Sus scrofa: one gene and its partner. The protein of the gene in region 1 interacts with the protein of each later gene in a biochemical or structural test. Links are inferred from orthologs where the notes say so. Each region holds a gene or a part of one and is shown on either strand. Other genes may lie near its edges. The genes, in order: RAD51AP1 and DMC1.

Region 1 (3,817 bases):
CCTGATTAGTGAGGTTTTAATTGATTTTTTTAATTGGCAAATTCATCGTTTCCAGAAATAAGATTTTAAATGCCGGGTTTTTAGAGATAAAGCTGTGTATGAGTTCCCATTGCTGCTGTAAAAAGTTATTACAAACTCAGTGGCTTAAATCAACACAAATTTATTATTTCACAGTTCTGTAGGTCACAGATTCAAAATGCCTCTCACTGGGCTAAAATCAAGCATTGGCAGAACTGTGTTCCTTTGTGGAGGCTTGAGGGGAGAATCCCCTTTCTAGCCTTGAGGCTGCCTGCTTGCCTTGACTGGTGGCCCACTTCCCTCTTCAAAGCCATCACATCACTCTTGTTCTCTGCTTCTCACTTTCACTTACAAGGACCCGTGTGAGTACACTGGGCCCTTCGCACAATTCAGGTTACTTCCCCATCTCGAGTCTCCCCCCCGCCTTTTTTCTTTGTCTTTTTGCCATTTCTTGGGCCGCTCCCACGGCATATGGAGGTTCCCAGGCTAGGGGTCGAATCGGAGCTGCAGCCGTCAGCCTACGCCACAGCCACAGCAACTCAGGATCCGAGCCTCGTCTGCACCCTACACCACAGCTCACTGCAACACCGGATCCCCAATCCACTGAGCAAGGCCAGGGATCGAACCTACAACCTCATGGTTCCTAGTCGGATATGTCAACCACTGAGCCACGACGGGAACTCCTCGAGTCTCTTAATGTAATCCCACTTAAGTCCCTTTGCTGTATAAGATAACATGTGCACACGTTCTGGGGAGTTAGGAGATAAATATCTTTAAGGAGCCGCCTATATAGACTGATAGGAGAAGGTCATTGACGATATGAAAAAACCTAACATGAATATATTTTATGTTTTCTTTAGATTTTTGTTTATGCCTTCTCACCAAGACACTCTAAAAGCTAAAAATAAATTCGCTTTCCAAGTTGCCATTTACCACTTAAATATTTCTTTATCCTGGAGCAAGTTGCTTCACAAGAAAGTTTACCATGTGATATTAGAAGTAAAATTTAACAGCCAAATAATGAAATTAAGAATTCGGAAAGATGGATTATATTTCTAGTCCCAGTAATAACATATTGAGTAACCTTTGAGTGTCTTCAATCTGGTACATGTTATAATTTTTTCCTTGATAGAGGAAATTTCAAGAGCTGTGGTGTCCATTATGGTGGCCACCAGCCACAAGTAACTTTATCACATTTAAGTTAATTAAAAATAAAATTTAAAAGCCAGTTCCTTGGTTTTACTAGCCACGTTTCAGGTGCTCACTAACTATATGTGGCAGGTGGCCTCCACATTGGACAGCACGAAATACAGAGTCTTCCCATCATTGCAGAAAAGCCTGTTGGACGGATGGTGCTGATCAGGGGGTGTAGTTACTAACATTAAGACGGGTATACAGGAGTTCCAGTCGTGGCGCAGTGGTTAACAAATCCGACTAGGAACCATGAGGTTGCGTGTTCGATCCCTGGCATTGCTCAGTGGGTTAAGGATCCGGCATTGCCGTGAGCTGTGGTGTTGGTTGCAGACGAGGCTCAGATCTCAAGTTGCTGTGGCTGTGGCGTAGGCCGGCGGCTACAGCTCCAATTAGACCCCTAGCCTGGTAACCTCCAAATGCCGCAGGAGCAGCCCTAGAAAAGACAAAAAGACAAAAAAAAAAAAGACGGGTATGCAGTGAAAATTCACATGCCTATGGATAATGCCCTTAGGTATAATAGGCCTTCAGGTAAATAAGATGCTCCTTAGGTATCTCAAAGCAAGCATTAACTAAAAGTGATTTTTTTTCCTACCTCCCTACCTCCCTCCATCAAAAACAAGCAAAAAACCAGAAAACTCAAACCTACTCCCATTCTGTGTTCATTCTCTGGGTAGATGGCGCCATCAAGCAGTGTTCCAGCGGCAGGAACTTGCAAGTCCTGGTTATTTCCTCCCCTCCAGCACTGCCCTCCCCTCTGATTACTAAGAGATGTCCAATCTGCTGGTTTTCCTTCCTCTTAGCGCAGGCCCTTTCCTCTTCTCACCGGGATAGCCATAAAGCCATCCAGGTGGTGTGCTTTACCCCACCATCGGCAAGATGCTTCTACGCATACAGCTCCTGAGCCCACGTCTAAAGTCTCATCTCTCTTACCACATTGCACTGTACACTTCACTTCTGTGCCCTTTCTACTACTAGAGTCTAGTGACTGGACCATGAGTTCCTTGGGAGCAGGATACTCTAACCTAGAGTGAGACACTATTGTGTAACAGTTACAAGTGTGGACTCAGAGTCAGACCTGGTTTCCAGTCCCGGCTTGGACACTTCCTAGCTATTAACTACAGGCAGATTATTTAACCTCTGTGTTTCCTTAACTGACAGTAGAGATGGTAATTTCTGTATCGTGGTTGCTCTAAGGTTAAAGGTAATGTTTATGATGTGCTTAGCATACTTCCTAGCATAGAAGTGCTCATAAAAAAGGGCTGTTCTTAGGTTCTCAATAAATGTTTGATGATTAATGATAATTATAATTGATTTTTCACATTTATGATACTTTTTTGTTTGTATAAGATTCTGTCATTTTATAATTTTCACACAACATCCTAAACTTTATCTTTCCTCTCTAACACTTTTTCTATGTGTATTTTTCAAATAAGTGACTTCAGTACACTCTGCTCCATCTGCCGTCAAGTCAGAATCTCAGCCCTTGCCAAAAAAGGTTTCTGTTTCTTCAGAGGCCACTGAGAAGCCATTACAAATATGCAGTCCTTCGGCTGAAAGCAGGAGACCTAAGTGGGTCCCACCAGGTACGGTGTATTTATTGATTGCTCAAGGGCAGGGGCTTCAAAAACTGGTAGGATTTTTTTTCCTAGTTGTAAATGTCACATATGAGCATTTCCTCATATTATTATGTAGTCTTCAAACCAAGGTTCTTAGTTGCTGTATTCATTCATCACTTATTATTCCCTCATATTTGAACATCCAGGTTATTTTTTCGTTGTTATAAATAAAGTTACAGTAAGCACAAACATCCTTATTTTTATTTTATTTATTTATTTTTGTTGTCTTTTTAGTGCTGTACCCACAGCATATGGAGGTTCCCAGGCTAGGGGTCTAATCGCAGCCACAGCTACCAGCCTACACCAGAGCCACAGCAACGCTGGATCTGAGCTGCATCTGCAACCTACACCACAGATCATGGCAATGCTGGATCCTTAACCCACTGGGCGAGGCCAGGGATCAAACTCGCAACCTCATGGTTCCTAGTTGGATTTGTTTCCGTTTCGCCATGACAGGAACTCCAACGTCCTTATTTTAGACCTCTGTGGGCACATCCCTTATTTTCCTACGATAAATTCCTAGAAGTAGAATTATAGTGAATGAGTACCAGTGTTTACGGCTCCTGTTATAGGAGTTCCCATTGTAGCTCAGCAGGTTAAGGACCCAACATTGTCTCTGTGAGGGTGTCAGTTAAGGATCCGGAATTGCTGCAAGCTGTGGTGAAGGTCACAGATGCAGCTCCATGGATCCCACGTTGCCATGGCTGTGGTGTAGGCCTCAGCTGCAGCTCTGATTCAACCCCAGGAATTTCCATACGCCATAGGTGTGGCCCTAAAAAGAAGAGGATGAGTCCTGTTATATATTTTTGTCAAGAAATCTCTTTGCCCAAGACCCACTGACTTCCAAAGTCTGACAGAATCCTTGGGAATCCCTGCATGTGGCAAACTTGACCTTCAGCTCTTACACATTTGGCTTCTCTCTGTTTTCTTTTGCTCCACAGCCAGGTCTCGCTAATCCTTCTCCCGTCTTGCCTTCCCTAAAACCCTAC
Region 2 (4,471 bases), about 56 Mb from region 1:
ATCTCTTCATTGATTTGAAATGCCATCTTTGTCTTTTTTTTTTTTTTTTTTTTTTTTGGTCCCGGTTTGAGTGAAAAGGTCTTCAAGTGTACTTATTTTTAACTACTCTGGAGTTTGGGGGTTTGTTTTAAAATATTTTTAAGTTGTATATAACTATCAATACCATCTCCAAACAAGATTTTTATCCTTACTTCATGAGTTTGTCATTACCAAGCTCATTTCAGTTTCTTTAAGTGTACTGCACACAACCTTCAAATATTATGAACATTTCTCTCTCCCAGCTGTCACTACACCAAACTACATATGTTATATTTCCCTAAATCATCTTGTTGTGCTCTTTGCAGCTCTTCCGTACAGTTGATGTCTCCATCTAACAAGTTGCTCAGAAGTTACTATAATTATTTTAGGTGAGGCCCAAAGTGAAAGCCTACCATCGACTATACAGTTCATCTCAAAAATTGACATTAATTTCTATTTAAGCAAGACCAGGCTGTGTTTCTGGAAAATAACAGATTTTGAAGAACTATGGCAGTTATTTGTTGGGTCTTTAAACAATCCACGTGGGGGGCAGAGGAAATGTCCTACAAAATGCCAACTGCTATTGTGGGAATTTTTGGCTATTTATTCCAGCAAAATATGATTCAGACACTGAATGAAAAGGGTCACCCTGTACTAGGTCTTGAACCCAAAGAACTGTTTGCACAGATAGTCATCCAAGATACATCACAGCCTCCACCTCAACAGATGCTCTTTCAAATGTTTCATGACTCTCTTCAACAGTCAGTCTCCATTTAAGGGGAGGAGGGTTGATGCTGCCAGAGACGGCTCTGCTGGCATGAAGGCTGGCCTAAAATTTCTATTTAAAAGCTGGACCAAAATATGTTTGGCTTCTGTTGTCTATTTAAAATTTCAAGTTAAAAGGAAGAAAAATTACTCTCCGTCCTGAATGGGCTTTGGGTGTCTCACTCACAGACTAGAGAATGGCAAACGGTAAGAGAGTCACGGAGAAGGGAGAGAAATTAGGAACGCTGAGATATTAGGAACAAACTATGAAGGCAGACATGAAAAACTTGGAATGAAAAGAAAAGCCTTAAGCAGGGGGAAAAGACCCCCATATTCGGCTCCTAACGGAGGATCTGGATTAAGGTAAGCATTCTGCACGTCATGAGTCACCACATCAGCCACCTCCCCTCAGCACCCCTCCCCCGCCTCACGGTCGTCCACCTCTTGCCCCCTTTCCAGCGGCCTCTCTTCATCTCAGAACACGCGCCACCCAAGGGCCTCCTTTCTCAGAGGATCCTGTCTTCACCTCAGCGTCCACCTCAGGAGCCCCCAATTTTGACCCATGTCCTGGGTGCCCCCACCTCAGAGTCCTCTCTTGACCTCAGCATCTCCCTCCGCTCTGGAGACGCCCCAGCCTCCCTTCCCACCAAAGCCCCTCTCCTCAGCACACACTCTCCCCCTCAGCGCCCCCTTCCTCATCCCAGCGCGCGACACGCCCCGGAGAGTCCGTTCGCCGCTCCCAGTACCTTCGCCTCCCCCGGACGCTCCTGCCGCCCCGCCCCCCGTCCTCTGCCCCGCCCAGATCCCCGCCCCTCCGTCCTGGCCCCGCCCACGCCAGGCGCGCGCCCAAACTAGTCGTTGGGCACCGAACCTCTTGGTCAACGGGGCTGCGAGGCGCCGCGTTCTGCTTCGGAGTCAGAATCCCTGAGGACTGGAAGGCCCGGGACGGGGGCGGAAGGGATTCATTCACCTTGAAAAGGGAGATTGTGGGTACGAGTCGGGTTTGTGGCAAAAGGGGAAGGTGGGTGAAGAATCTGAGGGGAAACTCAGGGGGTCCCTTCTTTAGTCATGCTTGGTGGTGGTTGGAGGCTCCACTTTGTGCGTCCCGCCCCCACCCCTGGGGGTATATCTCAGTGCCCTTGAGTGATTACCAGCATCCTTATTTTAAACCAAGTAGGACCTAAGTTGGGGAGGGGCCTCCTCAGACTCCTTATGAGGGAGTTAGGTGTTGGAAAAACGGGTGGCGGCAGGGGAGGCGACCTGGACCGCGCTTCCACGCCCGAAGCCGAGGCGACTGGGAGCCCTACTCTAGATCCAACTGCTCTCAACGTCCATTGCTATTTGAGAAAGATGAAGAGCAGCTTTTTTCAAGGCTAAAGAAAGGACAGTCAATGTGGAATTTGGGGGCAATCATATATATACATATATATAAGCAATCTGAGTGAGGGGCCGTATTCCAGAAAATTCCATTTACACCGTCTCCTCTTTTGCCTCGAATACTTTGCTGTTCAGAGGTACTAGGTGGTAACGACCATACCTCAACCTTAGTAATTTGTTCCCCTTCTGCTGGGCCCCAACCCCTGACTTCCGCGTTTTGTGAGAAAATGGAATAGACCAAGAAAAGTGATTACTTGGACTACGTTTTCTAATAAACAGGATCATGCTTTTTAGATTCCTGAGATCTTAAAACCGCTGCTCCAGTGTTAACTCAAAGATTGTTCATCTGCTTATTGGCCCTAATATTTTATCATATTATGATACTGAGTATTCACCATAATTTAAATCTTTACAAAAATCATGAAAGTAGTAAATACTATAGAACAAAATACATCCATTGTTTTATGAAAGAAAAATACACATGTTGCAAGAGAGCTCATTCATAATTCTCAAGCAGGAAGAGATGAAAAAATATCTATCTGTTGAAGAGAGACTAAGTTCTAGGTGCCGGGGAAGATATAGGAAGACTGACTTAAGGCCAAAGGTTTTTTTTTTGTTTGTTTGTTTGTTTTCTTTTTAGGGCCAAACCTGTGGCATAGATAAGTGCCCAGGCTAAAGGTCAAATTGGAGCTACAGCTGCCAGCCTATGCCACAACCACAGCAATGCCAGATCCTAGCCATGTCTGAGACCTACCTCGTAGCAACATTGGATCTTTAACCCACTGGGCAAGGCCGGGGATCGAACCCAAATCCTTATGGCTACTAGTTGGTTTTTTCACCCACCGAGCCACAACAGGAGATCCAGGCTAAAGTTCTTAGAGTGTTGTTAACATGAACATGAAAGAATAAAAATACGGAGTTCTAATATTCTAATTCTAATATTTCTACTGCCAATAACATTCCAAGACAACAAAGAGATATTATCAGTTATAATTGTGCTGTGGGAAATCAAAAGATGATACAAAGTGGCCAATTTTGAGGAAAGAGGAGAGAAACAATGTCCCTCCACCCTCACATATGCACACCCATTAAAAGAAATAATACCAGATGCCTAGCAGAAAGGATATAGGCTAGCCAGTCATTTCAAACTAAATGTTTTTCTATTTGTCCTTCTGGTCCTTAATAACTGAATTGAAATCAAGAAAGTCTATGGGCAAAGGGTTTTGTACTATGACTACTTCTTAATATTTTTTTATTTTCCCAAAATTGATTATTTTTTTGCTGTTCTCCTTTCAGTATGAAGGAGGATCAAGTTGTGCTGGAAGAACCAGGATTCCAAGATGAAGAAGTATGGCTAGAATGTTGAAAGACATGTAGACATTTAGTCATTCTACAAAAATGAAGTTCCTTCTCTGTTAACTACTATTTTTAGAAACAGATTAGCAATAAAACATAGTTCTGGAGAGAGGCAATATTACAAATATGTAACAACTTGTTTGGCAAGGGGTGCTAAGATTAGCTACTTAGCAGCTGGTGTGAAAGTATTTTAATAATTTAGCAATTGGTATGGCCATACTGGTTCCTATGCAAACTGGTAGTGAGGAGTAGAAGGAGTTCAAGGTCTGGTGGGGAAGACTGAGAAAACATATTTTAAAATAGATTAAATGTTGTTCCACTCTTTTGGGTTAAGGTCTTAAAAATTTGGAGAGGGCATAATAAAAGTATTGAGCTTCCCAGTGCTTTCAGTGTTAGCACTTCTATGTATGCAACAATGTGTTTGAAAAATCATTATTGAGCCTACCTCAGTCTGTCTAGAGAAGTGGAATTTGAAGCATCTTGGAGTGACTCATAATTCTGAATTAACTCTTAAAAATATTTGTGAAACGGTTGAATATGAAGAATAAAAACTTTTTTTTTTTCCCTGTTCCATCTTCGTTAGGAATCTTTGTTTCAAGACATCGACCTGTTACAAAAACATGGGATTGTAAGTATTTCTTCAGTGCTGTGTGAAATTGTCCATTTTAGGGTTTCTCAGCCTTGACTCTATTGGCATTTGGGACTTGACAGTTCTTTGTTGTGGGGGGGCTGCCTTGTGCATTGTAGGGTGTTTAGCACTCTGGCTCCTAACCACTCATGATATGCTAGTAGCAGCCTCATAGTTGTGACAACCCAAAAATTCTCCAAACATTGTCATGTCCCCAGGGAACAAAATTGTCCCCCGTTGAGAACTAGTGGTCCACTTGGAGGTGTTCAGAGCTATCAACTGTTTCCATCAACAAAAAATTCACCTTCTGTCATGTGATTAGATAAA

The links.
Region 2: the proteins of RAD51AP1 (region 1) and DMC1 form a complex in vitro, tested with the Homo sapiens proteins (2 studies listed by BioGRID and IntAct). The link is inferred for Sus scrofa from reciprocal best matches to the Homo sapiens genes RAD51AP1 and DMC1.

What each region holds. Positions count from the first base shown.
Region 1 is NC_010447.5:65,876,648-65,880,464, reverse strand, and holds part of RAD51AP1 (RAD51-associated protein 1), read left to right. Parts: intron 1-2,645; coding exon 2,646-2,795; intron 2,796-3,817. UniProt on the Homo sapiens protein: Structure-specific DNA-binding protein involved in DNA repair by promoting RAD51-mediated homologous recombination.
Region 2 is NC_010447.5:9,429,602-9,434,072, forward strand, and holds the start of DMC1 (meiotic recombination protein DMC1/LIM15 homolog), read left to right. Parts: upstream 1-1,634; 5' UTR 1,635-1,773; intron 1,774-3,456; 5' UTR 3,457-3,457; coding exon 3,458-3,508; intron 3,509-4,099; coding exon 4,100-4,144; intron 4,145-4,471. UniProt on the Homo sapiens protein: Participates in meiotic recombination, specifically in homologous strand assimilation, which is required for the resolution of meiotic double-strand breaks.